3 linked regions of the Drosophila melanogaster genome follow. The protein of the gene in region 3 interacts with the protein of the main gene of each other region in a pairwise test. Each region holds a gene or a part of one and is shown on either strand. Other genes may lie near its edges.

What was found.
Region 1: the proteins of l(2)05714 (region 3) and CG31244 interact in a two-hybrid assay, tested with the Drosophila melanogaster proteins (one large-scale study listed by BioGRID).
Region 2: the proteins of l(2)05714 (region 3) and mtgo interact in a two-hybrid assay, tested with the Drosophila melanogaster proteins (one large-scale study listed by BioGRID).

The regions. Positions count from the first base shown.
Region 1 is NT_033777.3:19,396,930-19,400,231, forward strand, and holds CG31244 (uncharacterized protein), read right to left. Parts: upstream 1,639-3,302; 5' UTR 1,554-1,638; coding exon 588-1,553; 3' UTR 501-587; downstream 1-500. Other genes in the region: INO80 complex subunit, read right to left, coding at 1,810-1,977, 2,038-2,299, 2,364-2,704, 2,768-2,945, 3,076-3,216, 3,283-3,302.
Region 2 is NT_033779.5:16,543,082-16,548,015, forward strand, and holds the start of mtgo (miles to go), read left to right. Parts: upstream 1-1,934; 5' UTR 1,935-2,357; intron 2,358-4,934. Other genes in the region: CG31816 (uncharacterized protein), read left to right, coding at 1-94.
Region 3 is NT_033779.5:4,967,113-4,975,430, forward strand, and holds l(2)05714 (lethal (2) 05714), read right to left. Parts: upstream 4,374-8,318; 5' UTR 4,185-4,373; coding exon 3,942-4,184; intron 3,673-3,941; coding exon 3,100-3,672; 3' UTR 3,035-3,099; downstream 1-3,034. Other genes in the region: eIF3i (eukaryotic translation initiation factor 3 subunit i), read right to left, coding at 1-401, 579-581; Scox (synthesis of cytochrome c oxidase), read right to left, coding at 895-1,256, 1,320-1,713; Polr1C (RNA polymerase I and III subunit C), read left to right, coding at 1,973-2,112, 2,173-3,034; CG14043 (uncharacterized protein), read left to right, coding at 4,700-6,502; mRpL28 (mitochondrial ribosomal protein L28), read left to right, coding at 7,025-7,045, 7,165-7,988, 8,041-8,104.

The sequences.
Region 1 (3,302 bases), on a different chromosome or scaffold from region 3:
ACCCGTCACCACCCCTTGCTCAAGATTCACCATCGATTGCCGCAGTGCATGAACAAGTAGTTTAGCAAATGAATACAAGAGCCACACAGGGTTTTTCCGCCACCGAGATCGGGACAATGGCAAAGGAATTTCTCTCTCTATACTGACGTGTAAAATATTGTCCCAAACCTGTCTATAAATCATCAAATGAATGGGGAACAATTACTATAATGTAGAGAACTAAGAGCTAAGCCTGCATATGAAAAAATATAAAACATTTTGGAAGAAGTCATAGTACTATATTTAAAATTTATTTGACTTTCCAAATTAGTCACCGCTTATATATTCGACGTTTGAGTACCTACTCAAAGCAGTCCCAATTATAATTACGCTCTCATATGTGAAAACATATGGCTATTTTTCGTACTTGAATAGAGTACTGATCAAAACACACTTTAAAAAAAAATAGAGAAAACATTCTTTACAATAAACTATACAAATAGTTTATACGATAAAGTTCTAGAGGGTCATTAAGAGTTTTGTATTACGGATAATTTAAACTTTTGATAATTTAAAATTACTTGTGATTTTTGCCGAACTGACTTGAACTACTGGACACGCACATTGTCATAGATCTTTACGACATCTATGTCTTGAAGAAGGTTTTTACGAAACTCCTGATAGCGGGCCATTTGACGATCATTTAACTCGACGAGCGGCTTGTTTGGACAGTGTCCAACCTCCTTATGTACAATCTTGTAGTTGCACTGCCTGAGTTTGTACGCGACCTCTTGCAGGTCCAGAGGCCGACATTTGAACAAAACAGATCCTTTGGCCAAATCGGTAATGGTACTATCGGTGGCTTTGCACCACAAAGCATCAATTCGCAACGTTTGATTGAATTCCTCAAAGCTTAATGGTGTTACGCTCGGCAATGTGGCCTCAATCAAGCCAGTTTCGTTGAATAAATGTCGATTGAAGAAGCGCGCTTTGTTTTGCCGCAGTAAGGAGGCCAAGCGAAGTTTCAGTTCGGGGAGATTATCCGTCCTGATCTTGCAAACCATGGCAACCAATTGCCGCCCATAGTCCATGGGTATACTATAGGTGTGATGATTCCTCTCGCTCAACTCGCACTCCTTCAGAATTCGCTGCACTCGACTGTACGGCAATTGCAAGGGCGACAGTCGAGCCCTCAGCTCGTAGTTCTTGTCGGGATCTATGGAACCTCCCCCACGATGCACCGCTAATCGAAGCTCGTTAGCCAGTATTAACTCATCTGTCGTATCATGATCAAACTGCGCCTTTTTGGAGCTTAGTGGAACGCTGGTAAAGCCGGTCTTACTCGGGCTCCTTTCCCCATACATCGGAGCCCATCGTACTCGCTTTACGCTCGGTATCTCTGGATTATCCAGAAGCTCCAAGTCCAGCCCATTACGCTTATCGTTCTCTAATTTCGGGGAATCACTACGGATTAGGTTCGGCTTTGGTCTGTAGGGAGTAACGCTGGACTTGAGCTGAGGAAGTTTCGTAGTCTTGGTCCTGTCCATGGGTTCTAAACAGCTGTTGTTATGCATTTGAAATGAACTTGAAATTTGGACTACTTAAAGTTATTGTTGAAAATGAATGGATTTGACTAATACAATAGAAATTTCGGAGAGCGTATGAGTGAAAAGTTTTTAAAAGGCACTAATATAAATTCACAATGTGATTTCAAGAAAAAATTAAACGAAATCGAAACAAGGGACAAACTTTTTTGAAAGGCACGGTAAAAAAAATTGATATTGTACATCAATATACATAAATGAAAAAGTAAGTATAATATGAACTCACCGTATCGGCGGCTGTTAAATTAATTCCCAGTCCTCCGGCTCTCGTAGACAGTAAGAACACGAAGATATCTGCTCTCGTTTGAAAATCGGCAACCATATCGCGACGAGCGGATATCTTGCTTGAGCCATCCAGGCGCATATAGCGATGCTTGCGGTGCCACATGTACTCCTAGACATTTTATCAAAAAATTAAACTGAACAGTGATCGTTTCAAGTTTAATAAACTTACCTCGAGCAGGTCTATCATCTTGGTCATCTGCGAGTATATGAGTACTCGATGTCCATTCGCCTTCAATCGAGTTAGCAAGTTGTCAAGAACAAAAAGCTTACCAGCATCGGTAATCAGGGTTTCCTTGTCGGGCACCACAATCGAGGACCATCCACCATGAGGCTTGCACAAGGCCAATCCACTGGAGACAAGCTCCCTGCCCTGGCTATTCTCACACTGATTGTGGCGAATCTGGGACCACGCTGCAGATCGACTATCGCAGCTAAAATTGATATAAAAAAAGTTAAAAACCTGGATCGGTTTCGATGAATCCATTTGAAACTTACTATAAATATCTATGCACAGCTTGAACTTTTTGTCCCAAATCGTAAAGTATTCGTGGCATGGAAAGCGGTTCGCATACGTATTTTCTTGGCTTTCGTGGGCGATGCGGAAACTCTGGTAGCAGCAGCAGCGTCGTCACCTTAACATCGCTTTTGGCATTCGACTTTGTTTGCACCTCCACAGACTCGATTTCCAGCTTTTGCTTGGACACATCCTCCATCTCCTCGATTAGCGACGTTTTCTTCTTCAGAATCTTTGACCGAATTACACGGTGTTCGATAGTTTCCTGCATATTGTACGTAAAGTAATCGCCAAATGCGTAAACGCTGCTTTCGTTGGCGGTCTTTAAGCATAAATCATTGTATAAATTGTTCGAATAAAAATTTATAAATATAAATAATTATACCATTGCTGTGAATATGAAGTTCTTAAGGACACTGTTTGGTGGCATATAGTCGAGAGCTAGTTTGTTTTCCAACATCGGCTCCAGCAGTTGATATCTACTGTCCGGCTGCTTTTTCCACCAAAAGCGACGGTAGGCCAGCAGTGGGTATTTCTCCAAAACTCTTCGATAATGCAAAAGACTGTAGAAAAACAAACGTAAGTATTGTAAGTATTTAACCATTTGTTATTATCAAACAAAGGAGCACGACATTTGCGAATTTTGCTATTATAAACATGTTACTTACAGGTAAAGGGTATAGGAATACTCACAAATCTATCAGTCCATTTAAAGTTACTTCTACCATATCTCCCACAGATAAATCGCAAAGCCGGGTAAATCCGAAGCAACTATTCACGTTCACATCCTCAAAGAGAGACCTCTGTATGTATTCCGATTTGAAGATATTGAACCTGCAAATGGGCAGTCAAGGATTAAAAATTCAAATATGATAAAATGTTCAAAACCTATCCACTTACCGGTTATAGAGCAAGTGCTT
Region 2 (4,934 bases), about 12 Mb from region 3:
ACGTGCTGTCAAAGCTAAATACATCAAGAATGACTTCGAGTGGTGGTTAAGGCTGCGAAAAACATCGAAAAAGTTCTGCAAAGTTGGGGCATAGAAGCGACAAAATAATGAGGACAGCGAAATTATTCCTATTCCATTTTTAAGGGAATATACAGTTATTAAAATAAAATATTTTCATACCCAACTTTACTTGGTTAGTCCAAATATTTGTATAGCCCTTTAAGGAGTTTATTATGTTGTAACTTGGATAGAATGGATTCCAGAATAGTTCCGGAAATGACTTGAAACTGTATTTCCGGCTTTCACATTTAATTTACATTTTAGCGTGGACACCTACCGCAATGGTTTGGTTATATGCTAACGCTTTCCTTAAGCTCTTGTAAAAGTTTTGTAAGTACTAGTGTTATACGGAGATTTTGTTAACAATTTCATTGAAGTATTTACATACGTAAGAATTTCAACAGAAATGTATCCTCCCAGTCGGGTTCATTTAAAAGGATTAACGGTATTTTGAAAAATAAATTATACAAAAAGATTTACAATCTATAACGTAGCTTAGAAAATGAATTTCAATTATCATTTTATTATATATTTTATAGAAATTGACTTGAATAATGTGGTGTCCATTGCAAAACGGATTAGCAGGACTAGACTTATATTACGAGTCATTTTTCGATTCTCCCACTTATGTATATTGTTCAATTGACCTTTGATAATACAAAATTGCCTAGATTTCAAATAATATTACGTATACTAAAATTTATATATGTATGAAGTTGTTAGCCAGTTTCTTTCTTTTTTTTTCCATGAAATATTGAAATCTTCCTTCCGTTTTGCTTTGAAGTTCAAGTTATTTATTATTTGTTGTATTCTGCAAACAGCTGTTTGCATTTCGGCCGGCGTCGCAAAAGCAACAATTTTCAACCGCGTAAAGCTTTTGGCCTCTTGAGCCATAATTTCATACAGGTTGCAGGCTTGGAAAAATAACTCAATCTGGACTCACCTACTCACTCTCACTCTCTCCCTCTCCCTCTTCCAACCTTTCCTTTATTCACTCACTCTCCCACGCGATTTTTGGAACAAAAACGACGGCAGAGGAAATGCAGCGCAGTCGACGCCAAAAGGGATATTTTATATTATATATTAAGCCCGTCCTTAAATATGAATTTCCCAATCCTATTCTTATTCAAATTATAAAATGTATATTTAGCTTTAAGTTTAAAATATTGTTAAGTCGTACTCGGCTTCATTACGTAAATATCTTATTCATATAATTTTTGTACACGTAGTGTCACATGATAGAGTAATCAAATAAATGCATTTGGTAATAAGCTGATCTTCTGGACATTCAAATAACTATGCTCAAAAACCTTGCTGGCCCTTGATTCACTTAATAACTCAATTTTAGGACTTTCAGTGGGTGGAAATTTCCCTGGCACCCACGCAAACGAACGGGTTAAAAGATAGTGAAAAAGAGAGAGCGCACGAAAGCAACAATTGCTTACTCTTATGCACAAAGAAAAAATACTAACAACTTCAATTTTTGCATTGAATTACATAGAATTCGATAGAAAAGCCCAGGTCAAATAAAAAATTAAAACAATAATTTAGATAACGACTTATTTGATGTTAGATATTAGATTTAATTCGGTTAATGGGTAAGTTAGAAGAAATAATGTAAATTTTTGCATTGCAATAATGAAGCAATGAAACAAGCTTTACGTTAACGTCACATGAACTACCGTTAGCGAGCGAACAGTGCAGAAAGCGCTCAAGAGCGCGGAGCATTCCAATGCGTTGGAGTAAGAGCGTGCAGAATTCGTGGGAGCAAATTGGCGCCCGAATCAGCCGCTTTTCGTAACTCACTCAATGCGAATTGTTTTCAAGCGCCGGAGAGAATCTATATAGAGGGGCTTCTCCGACTCGCTTCGAATATGTTTTTCGCAGCGCGCGCGTTCGCATCGGAAAATCAGAAAAGCTGGCAAGCGTTTAAAAACAAATTCGGCAGGTACAATTGTTACTTGTTTTCCCCTCAGTTGACTATTTCGTCGCAGGTTTTTGGCCAGCGGAAACCATCGTAATAACCGTTTATCGTTATTTTATTATATTCGCGTAAATCGTTGTTTGTTCAACCACAGAATACTTGTTGTTACGCATTTCGAAAATGGAAATGCGAAAATTTCCAAGCAGTGAAAATCAAAACGAATAAAATATATTGGCTGCTTTTCGTGTTTAGCGCGTACGTGTGTGTTTCTGTGTTAGTGAGTGCAGCAAGAAATAAAACCAAAAAGCAACAAATAAATAAATAGAAAACAAAAGCAAAATCAAATCCAAATTCAAAGGCAAATACTTGCAAAGTAAGTTGATAATATCAGAGTGTGGTGCTAGCATATGTTGCATTATTTTGCCCAGCAATTTACATGTTTTTCACATTTTCTTCTCTCACAAATGACAACTAACTAATATGGATGATATTAACGGTGTTTAGAGTTGGCTTTTCCATTGAGAAATATGAAAAAATGCGTTCAATATGTTAGCGTACACACACACACAAGCGGCGGCTAACTGTTGTTTGTGTGTATGTGGGTGAATTGGCAATAACGCGCACGTGTATTAGTGTGTGTTTGTTTTTGTTGCCTTTGCGGCCAAGTGGCAGCAAAACGTTGCAAGCAACAAAAACAATAACTACGATGGCAAAACAAGTGCAGTCAGCAAAACCAACTCAACCAGTGCCTCTCGCGCTCTCCCACTCTCTCTCTCTCTAATACCCAAGCCCACCTCCTGCTCCCACACTCACCCTTCTCCCTCGCACCCATTGACGCAACTGCATGGTCAGGGCTTCTTTTACTGTTACAAAGCTCATGCGTGGACCCAATAGCAAAATGAATGCACGATGTACTTAGTTCATTAATTCCGCCAAATCAGAAATTATAATTATAAATGTACGAGTTTAATGGATTAAAGTTAGGTGTACGTAATTTTTTTAATTGTATGACCACTTTGGTGAAGCATAACCGTGGTATGAAGCTATTACAATTTCATGAACTTGGCGGCATAAACTTTGCAATTTACTATCTATGGTCGTCTTTGGATTTTTGGCTTCGCGCTTTTTGCTCTTCGAAGTGCGCTGCTCTCTTTGCGCCAAACAAAGCTCGGCCGACACTTGTCGCGTCTTTTGGATATCTGGCCTCCTCCCACCGCCCACTGCCTCTTTACATATATCTTTTACATTTTTTGCTTTCATACACTGAATAAAATTATGGGTATATACCGTACTATCAAATGTTTCTGAGTAAAAATTAATTTAAATAAAAAATTTAATTATATAATTATAAAATTATTATATAATCACTTGTATTTAATGTTGTATGTGTTGCAAATCCATTAATACTTTTAAACTTCTAGGCTTAAAAACAAATGTCTGTGAAAAAAGTGGAATTCTTGGAAAGTGTATCTCTTTGGCTTTTCCACCTCGAGGCGTTTTCGCTTGAAGCTTTTGCGAGTTTGGTTCGATTTCCATTTGCGTTTAATTGCATTTATGCATTTTTAATCGAGTTTGACTTTGGTGAGCTTTTTACTTTGGCATATGCTAGATTGTCGCCCAGACACACGGGGTTTTTTTGGGTGAAAATGGGCTCTTGCTGATCCAAAAGATAAGTTTCAGTTTCGTCCTTCTTGGTAGTGAGATGTTTGGACAAAGTTTTCTAATTGGCCTTGACGCCGTTTTCAGAGTTTTAGTGCTACTAAAAGGCAAGAGTGCGAACTTTCTGCGTCTTTAATAAGATAATTTATTTGCAATTATAATTTGGTTCATTAAAGTTAATTGAATTAAGGGCAGGCGTTACATTCCAACCAAATGGAATGACAATGGGTGTGGGGTTAAAGATAAAAGGATTTTAGTTAGTGAGGAATATATTTTGTGATAATAACGGGTAATTAAATTTTTTTTTATTTTAAACTGAACCGCTATTAGGCAATTTTGGGCATTAAATAGTTAAAAGCTTTAGATACACAGTTTCAATGCGGTATACAAAACTTCATTAATTTTCGATTAATCTAGTATTTTTATACTATAATTTAAAAACCTTACGTCATTTATTGTTTTAAATCAAATTTTAAATTTAAATATTTTAAGATATTCCACTTCTCCAAAGAGGTTTTTTTCGAACAATTTTTAACTCACAGCCAACAGCTGTTGCATCCTAAGCAAACATTTGTATGTTTAACTTAGTCCTCTTGAAAGCTCAATTAAAGTCGCGTGTATAACCGCCCACTACCCAGGGATTCTCTAAACTTCTACACTCCGAACACACACGCCAAGTTTGCAACTTGGCATATGTTTATCTGCTAATCATGGAAATGCGATGCGGTGTTGCAAAATATTTATCTAGAAACGGTTGACTAAAAAAGAGGGAAATAAGCGAAACAGCTTTTCAGCCAAACTGCAAATGGGAAAGCAGCCCCCTTACCGGTTTCCCACTTTTCCGGCACGGCGACCATATGCCAAAAAGCTGAACCAAAAATCGCACACACATTTGGGGATAAAACGCGATGCGAAAAAAGCATAAGTAGGCTGCTGTGACATTTCGTTGTCTGGGTATACGCTCATCGCGAACAAGGATACAGGAGCATTAGGGTGGAGCAATTTGTTCGAAGCTAAATATAAAAAACTTCAATATTGATTAAACTTGTTCATGCATATAGGACTTAAACTAAGTAAAGATCTGAACTAAAATTAAGTGCTTTTTTTTTAATAGAAGAAATATTAAGATCAGCTATTTTTGCGGACTGTTGATTTCCTTTTAGCGCTTAAACCTTTATAAGAATATACTTGGCATTTCAAGACTTTCGTAAATTCAGAACTTGGCTTAGATTGACGCACCCTGATAAAAGCACACTTATAAAGGCACACATTTGTATATCCGCACATCGGC
Region 3 (8,318 bases):
GACAACGAGGAATCGGCGTTGCGGACATCGATGAGGAACAGTTCACAGCTCTGTCCCATCGCTTTGTCCGTTGAGTAGGCTGCCTGGTTGCCCGAGAAGCTGAAGTTGCTGGTGCGCACCGATGACTTGGTCGGAATGGAGGCGATAACGGTGCCGTACTCGACGTCCCAGATCTTAGCGGTCATATCACCGGCGCCGGTGATGAGCTTACGGCTCTCCCAGTCCACATCCAGGCACCAGACCGCACCCTGGTGACCATCGTAGGTGCCCAAACGTTCTCCGTTCAGCGAGTACCACACATTGGGCTTCTGATCCTTGGAGCAGGAGAAGAGCAGGTCGCCCTCGCGGTTGTACTTGATTTGCGTTATGGAACGCTCGTGGCCCTGAAGCATCAACGGACGCTATAAAAGACAGAATAATACGAATTTTTAGCAACAATTTAGGCCGCTTTTAAGGTTATGTTTGGTCCGGAATTTCACACGACTTTCACACTTTGCAAATAGTTGTAATTTCGGGTAAATTCTAAAGAAACCCATCCGGAATAATGCAAACTGTGTAGTCATTGACCAGGCACGCACCATTTTGTATTATATTGTTATTTGTTGCGAGAAAACGAATATTTTTGCAACAACATCCACGCAGCACTACACGCCAAAAGAGCAGTGTGACCGTGGCCTAGTCAAAATCTCACTTCGATATACCAGGGGGATCTAAAAAATACCGTTAATCAAGTTTATTTTGAACAACCAGAAATTTTTACAATCTAGAACTTAAGGTATAGCCAATATAAACGAAAATTTGGATTTAAAACTTGATATACATCAAGTAAAAACCATATTTTATGCCATACATTAAGTAAATACAACGAAACAACATTTGCCTAGCTTAGCCAGCCTAGCTGAACCATCCCTTTTTGTTCATTGAATTCCACTTGGCTATGTTCACCAAAATGGATGCCACACACTGGTCCTTGTCCCGATTTTGGCCGTAGTAATCGACAAACTCGCCATCGGGATTGACCAGGTACATGATGATGGTGTGATCCACAATATAATCGTTGTCCTCGTCCCGCGGTCCAGCGCTGAAATAAACCCTGAAGGCCTTGCACACTTTGCGGATTTGTTCGACGGTTCCCGTGAGTCCCAGCAGTTTGGGGGAGAACTCTTTTACGTATTTGGCCACCACCTCTTTGGAGTCACGTTCTGGGTCAACGGTGATAAAGATGGGCTGCACTGCTGGCGTTTGCGGGGACTTTTCTGTGAAGGTTTGAGAAACATGGTTTTTTTTGGGTTTGGAAGAAATAGTCAGGCTCTACTTACCAACTTCATCGACGACGGCGGCCATCTTCTCTAGCTCATCGGGACAAATATCCGGGCAGTGGGTGAAGCCAAAATAGATGAGCAGCCACTTGCCTAAGAAGTCCTCCGATTTGCGAACAGCTCCCTGCGAATCAACTAATTCCCAACTGCCGCCGATGGCTGCTTTTCCCAATTGCCGCTGACGCTCCTTCATTCTCGCCTCATCCTTCTCGCTCTTCACGTACAGCATGAAGCCCACTCCTCCGGCTCCAAGGGCTCCAATGACGGCCAGACTTCTCCAAGAGATCGGACCCTTGCCTTTAGTGGAATCTGCGGGAGCGGCATAATGACGAATTGCGGGCTGTTGTGCCCAGCGACGACAGCTGCCCACTAAGCGTTGCAGGGAGCGGGACATCTTACGCCCGGTTTCAGAAATTTGAAGGCTTTACGTAAATCTTCTGGAGAAATAAAAATATCGCCGGTGTCCTGCTGCTTCTTCCTATTCAGCCAGTCACGGCGAAACAGCATTTATTTAGTACATAAAGTATATTTATTTAGTATATTAGTTAGTTTGTTAGTTAGTTTGGTATATTTTGGTATTAGAAGGCGGTCTTATTGATTCCAACACGTGCGGTTCAATTTTGTTAAATTATTTAATAAAAACACCGGGGCAAATGGCAAGCAAAAATCGCAAGGAGCCGCTTCTGTACATGGAGGAGTATCGGGTGAAGCAGGATCCGCAGGACTATGGACTGGCGGACGATGTATTTTCCGTTCAGGCTTTCAAGGAAAAGCTGCACATCAAAATCGTCAGGTAAATCTCAATAGAAATTAGAATCTTACGAGTCGATTAACAATTGGTGTTCACTTCTAGAAACGACGAAGACGGCCTGGAGTTCGATCTGATTGGCGTGTATCCCGCCATTGCAAATGCCTTCCGTCGCCTGATGCTCAGCGATGTGCCCAGCATGGCCATCGAAAAGGTGTACATATACAACAACACCTCGATCATCCAGGACGAGGTACTTGCCCATCGAATGGGTCTACTTCCGTTGCGGGCTGATCCCCGTCTATTCGCATACCGCACCGAGGAAAGCACTGAGGCGGGGACCGAGCAGGATACGCTTGAATTTGAGCTGAAGGTGAAGTGCTCGCGGCGACGGGATGCTGGAAAAGATCAGTCCAACTTCGATGACATTTACAAAAACCACAAAGTGTACTCGGGTCATCTGAAGTGGCTGCCCAAAGGAAAGCAGGCGCAGATATACAGCGAGAGTGCTGTGAACTGCATTCACGATGACATACTGATTGCCCAATTGCGTCCGGGTCACGAGTTGGATCTGCGCCTGGTGGCGGTTAAGGGACTTGGACGGGATCACGCGAAATTCTCGCCGGTGGCCACGGCCACCTACCGACTGCTGCCCATGATTAAGCTGAACCGCGAGGTGACCGGTAAGGATGCGTACCTATTACAGAACTGTTTCTCACCAGGAGTAATTGGCATTGACGAGAATGAAACTGCCTATGTAAAGGATGCACGCTACGACACGTGCAGCCGAAATGTGTATCGCTATCCCCAGCTAAACGACGCTGTGACTTTGGCCCGTATCCGAGATCACTACATTTTCTCCGTGGAATCAGTCGGCGCACTGAAGCCCGATGTCATCTTCCTGGAGGCGGTCAAGGTATTGAAGAGAAAGTGCCGGGCGCTAATTGACGAAATTGAGGCAGAATAGTTATTTATTTAGTTGTTAAAGAAATTATATTATGTACATAAGACAGCTTGATATAAATTGTAAGCCTACGAAGATCGTGCTTGCTCTCTCTTGCGCTTGAGCACCTTCAGGCGAAATTCCGTTAGGACCACCTGCAGACGCTCCTGGCACATTAGTGCGTCCTCCAGGTCCATGTTGTTCAGCTGCAGAGCCAAACTCTTGCCAAACAAGTCAAATTCACTAATAATGGTGTCTTCCGTCATCGCGTCGACTTGGTATTCGTTATTAATCTCCGTATCTTCCGGCTTGAGCTGTATCATCTCTTCCTCGTAGACCACCTCTTGGTCCTGGAGATCTGTTTCATTCTGTTGTACTTCGAGGAACTCGTTCTCAACCTCAAATTCTTGCTCTTGATAGGGCTGATCTGTTCTGAGTAAATCATCCAGGATTGAGTCGTTCGAGGCGATTTCGTCCTCCTCCGTCTCCTCCTCCATGCTCTCCACCTTCGTGTCGTTCTTGATCTTTGGCTGCATTTTGCTCCTTGGCTTTTGCCTTGGATAGGTCTTTGATTTGGCTTTGGGCTTTGCTTTGGGTGAAATTATGGAGGCCTCCAAGTCTGGGTCATGCTCATCTTTGACAAGTTCACCCTTAATCATATTCTGTAGGTATAAATACGGAGTTGTTAATTTTATGTAAATTAGTAATGAGATGAGAATTTTTTTTTTGGAGCGATAAGTTGTGCATCGCATAGAGGGAGCTACTGGTTTGGTTAACCATTGCACAAGAAGTAGTCAATGGAATAGTTAACGAAAAGTATGGCGAAAACTCACACAAAAATCGTGTTTGAAATTTAGTTTGGATCGCAAAATATTTGAATCAATAATGGACACGGGTCATTCCTATTGCTTATGCACAAACCCAATCCCACCTTGGCAAGAATGTTGTGGTACTTGAAACTTTCCTGGTGTTTCCGCGTTGCGAGGTGCTGCTTGATGGACGCTAGTCTGGCGAGGACATTGATGTCGCAGATCTTGCAGTGCGCCGAGTAACCGTCATTACTAGACGCCAGCCAGCTGGAGAGCTCCGGATATTTCTCCCACTCTGTGCGATAGCGTTGGTGGTACAGTCGCTTCACCTTCTTGTCCTCATCCGTCTTGTAACCCTTCAGCATTGTGCCCGCTTTCGGATGAAGCTTGTCTGATTTGTGGAAAAGTATTCTTTGAAAGATGAGCGCCAAAAGCAGTCTTTAATAGCTGATGGTGGTAAATATTTTGGTATATTCCAAAAATTTGCGACGCGAAAAAAATCTGAAAGTCGATGCGGTGTGACTGTAATCGAATACGTTATAATACCAGCAATTAATTCCAGGGTTGCGACATAGAGGTTGCTGCGCAACGGTCACACTAAGCTGTTTTGTTTATATAAACATTTTATGCCTTCAAGTTTATATTAGAGGCGTTTATGGTTGTGTTATGTACTTTTTGAAAATACCTTACTTGTACATAGTTCAAATTAATTTAGTTTGAGATTTTAAATAAAATATTCTTTCATGGTTTGGGTCTCAGGTAAAGTTTAAGCAGTCACAATACGGCCACACTACACACTCATAGAGAAAAAATATAGTAAATAAAAAGGCTTTGCCGAATTCAGGATAGCTTTTGCCTGCACCGTGGGTGCTCAGCCAACATGGTCATTCCAAAGGAGATCCTAAGCGACTTCAAGGAGCTATACGAGAAGGCCAACCGTCTGGTGGAGGAGGAGAGCCGCAATGATCCGCCCACGGATCCATTCCGCTCCCATTATAAAGCGCGCGATGTGCTAATTGTCTTGAAGAAGCAGCTGGACGACCAACTGGTATCTGTGCAGGCCAGCGAGGAGGACGGTGGTCAGGACGATCGCTGCTATCACTCTCTGTTGGCCTTCGTTTGCCGGGATCTAGGCAGGATCTACATCTACACAGAGGAGCAGGCAGAGGGCGAAAAGATGCTCAATCGTTGTCTGGAACTAGTCACGCCGTTTAAGGAGTGCCCTGAGGGCATCATTCCATTCATTGGGGCAATCAACGAGCTTAGCATTGTGCTGGCCTCCAAGGAAGAGTACAATAAGGGACTGGAAATTCTCCTGGAGGCAGAAAAAATCTACGAGGACTTCAAAGCCAGTGGTCTGAAGCCCCTGGCCATTCAAGATGTGTTCAATCCTCCGGAGGAGGGACAACAATCTCACGAAGCTGGTCCCAAGGAACTGGAATCCCTGTACACGCTAGTCTCATTTTACATGGCGCAAATGTACGGGCATTTGGGTGAGCCGGAAAAGTCGGCCAAGTGCTGCCATCGCACCCTCCATCGACAGCTTGAGTCAAAAACATACGATCCCATTGATTTCGCACTGAACACCGCCACCTTGTCACAGTTCTATATTGGAGAGAAGCGCTTCGAGGAGGCCCGTCATCACCTGGCCGCTGCTACGCTCATCATGGCCGAATATGAGGTGCACATGCTGGAGCCGGAGATGAGCGAGAAGCAGCGCCAGGACGTGTCGGAGACCTTTAAACATCGCTACGCCGATGTGGCACGCTGTTGGGCCAAATATGGATTGTATTTAATGAACACATCCAAGCTTCGGCTGATGCGGGACGAAGATGACGAGGATGCCAAGAACCTGGAGATCGTTCTGCGCAATATGCGGCTGGTCGAGGCGGAACAGTCCCGGTTTCCTGGACTTGACCTCACCGCGTGTGAAAATCGTATTAGTTGTGAATACTGCCTGACCTTCGACGATGCCAAGTTGGTGTTTCATTTTGTGAACGAGTGGCTCGACATAGCCAAGGACTATTACAAGGCCGAGAACGAAGCTACTGAGTATTCAAAGATAATGCAGGATTACGCCGAAGCGTATGAGCACATTGCCTTCTTCGAGGAGAATCCAGAAAACCAGGCCAAGATGCAAAAGCGTCGCGCCAAGTATCTGGAAGATCTTTTGGATCTGCTTGACCCCATCTTTTACATGAAGATATGCCGAGAATGCTGGTATGGAGCCGGCACAGCTCATGCTGCCGTGATGGATGTCCGTCTCGACATCATTCGGGCCACTAGCACGCCAGCGCCGGAGGACATCAAGAAGGTCAATCAGAGCTGTATGAAGGCCATCAAGCACTTTGAGAGCTATGTCAAATCCTATCTGGTCAAACCGCCCAGCGAGGAATGGCGACCCAACATGGACGTGGAGGAGCAACGCCACATGCTCTACGCCCACTTCCACATCGGTCGCATCTACTACAAGCTGATCAGTGGCCATCCGCTCCAGCAGCTGGAGCACCTAACTAGTTGCCACACCTACTACCAGAGATTCGATGCTGGTTGCCAGCTGCACAAGGAGGCGGCCGAGACGCTGCAGGGCGAGATTGGTGTTGTGCGTGAAATGCTCCAGCTGTTGCCGCTCAAGATAAACACGATTAAGGCCAGGTTGAACAAGGCTGGGCTAACCGCGTGAGAATTTCCAAAAAATTAATTGCATTTGCTAAAAGCTTTATACGTAGTCAAAATAAATCGCGTTTCTTTCAAGGATATTTAATTGTTAATACATTAGTAACTTACATGTTACATTCTGATAGCGAAAGTAAGCCGCTTTTCGATTTTAATTGCCGACAGCATAAATTTATTTCTTGCTACTCGTGAATGGTACTTATGCCGGAGTATGGCTTGGCGCACTGTTTCATATATTGATTATAATAAATAAGTTGAACTACTTCGAAACTCAATTTTTTGCCGAGCATTTCTAAATTTCACAAAACTAAATTGAACGAAGCTCTGTCTCCGAAATACTTTTCAAACCTGGCAACCCTGGCTGCCAGCCATTCACATACGAACAGCTGTTTTTTCCAAACAGGAAGAGGAAGAGCGCCGTTGGCCTAGCCAAAATCAGGGAAAATATAGTTTAATAGCCAAGTTTAAACTGCCACTATAGTTTTAATAGTGAATAATAACAGTAAACTGCTAGTTCGTTCCTTAAAAAATGGCACACGCCACGCCACAGGTATGTGATTGCCTCAAAAATAAAGAGGAAACTGGTAGTGCGCCGCGTTTCTGTGACGCAATAGCTGCGTTAACTTTCGTAAACCCCATGGAATAACAAAGCGTTTAAACCTTCTGCAGGGCGTAAAGCTATTAAACGGATGGAAGCGTCCGGGTCGCTTTGACAAGGGTCTGGGAGCCCAGCTGCCCGAGGCGTACAGGAAGTTCTGGCGCGAGTGGAAGCTGACGACCCCGGCTGCGGTCCATTATATCCCCAAGGAGCAGCAGTGGGAACGAGATGAGGTGACGCACGCCATCAAGCCGGTGCAGAACATCCCGCTGCCATTGATCGATACGCCGGAATCGCACCGTGGCATCTGGGGTGGCGAGGCCGTGATCAAGGGCTTTCAGAAACGCGAGCAAACAAAGCGTCGCGTGCCGCACTTTTGGGTACCAAATCTTAGGCGTTCGGTGGTCCATAGTCATGTGCTGGACTGCTACATGTCCGTGGTGGTGACGGAACGCACGCTGGAGCAGATCCATGAATGTCATGGCTTTGATCACTACCTCCTCAAGAATCGTGCCTGCGATCTTCGCTCCGCTTTGGCTCTGAAACTCAAGCGAGAGGTGCTTCAGGCCCTGCAGAACGGTGTTCCAGCCCTCGCCGACGAGCCCGAACGCCAACAGGAAGTGCTTAAGGAATACCGCCGCTATCTGGAACCATATACGCCCGAGGAAATCGATTGGTACGGCCATACCTATTTGGAGGCCATACGCAAGCTGCAAAAGCAGCTGCGCGAAGCGGAAAAGGTGGTGCCGCATAAGTTGGAGTTCCGCGGAAAGCTTATCGAGCAGCTGCGCCAGGCGGGGATCAGCGAAGCGGGAAAGCTGGAGAAGCCGGATGCATTAGCAGCAGAATCGTCGGTCGAACACAAGGATTCGGATATCGAAGCGCTTACAAAGCTGTAAGTCACAAATACTTCTGTAATGAATTTCCTAACCAATGATTTATTCCAGGGAATCCTCCCCCTCTTCCAGTTGGCTGTCTAAAATCAATCCTTTCGGCAAGAAAGAAACCTAGAAAAGCTGTCCGCGTTTGTTTTTGATTTATGTGTTTAGCCTCGAACGAATAAACATAACTTCGGAAACATTTCGTTACAATTTGAAGGTATTAAAACGTTGTTACTCGAACGTCTTTATTTCAAATATTCGTTACATCTGGTACTGTATAAAAACAAGTAGAATCACACACTGAACATGAACGTACGCGGCAAAGTAGAAAAAGGAATGATTGC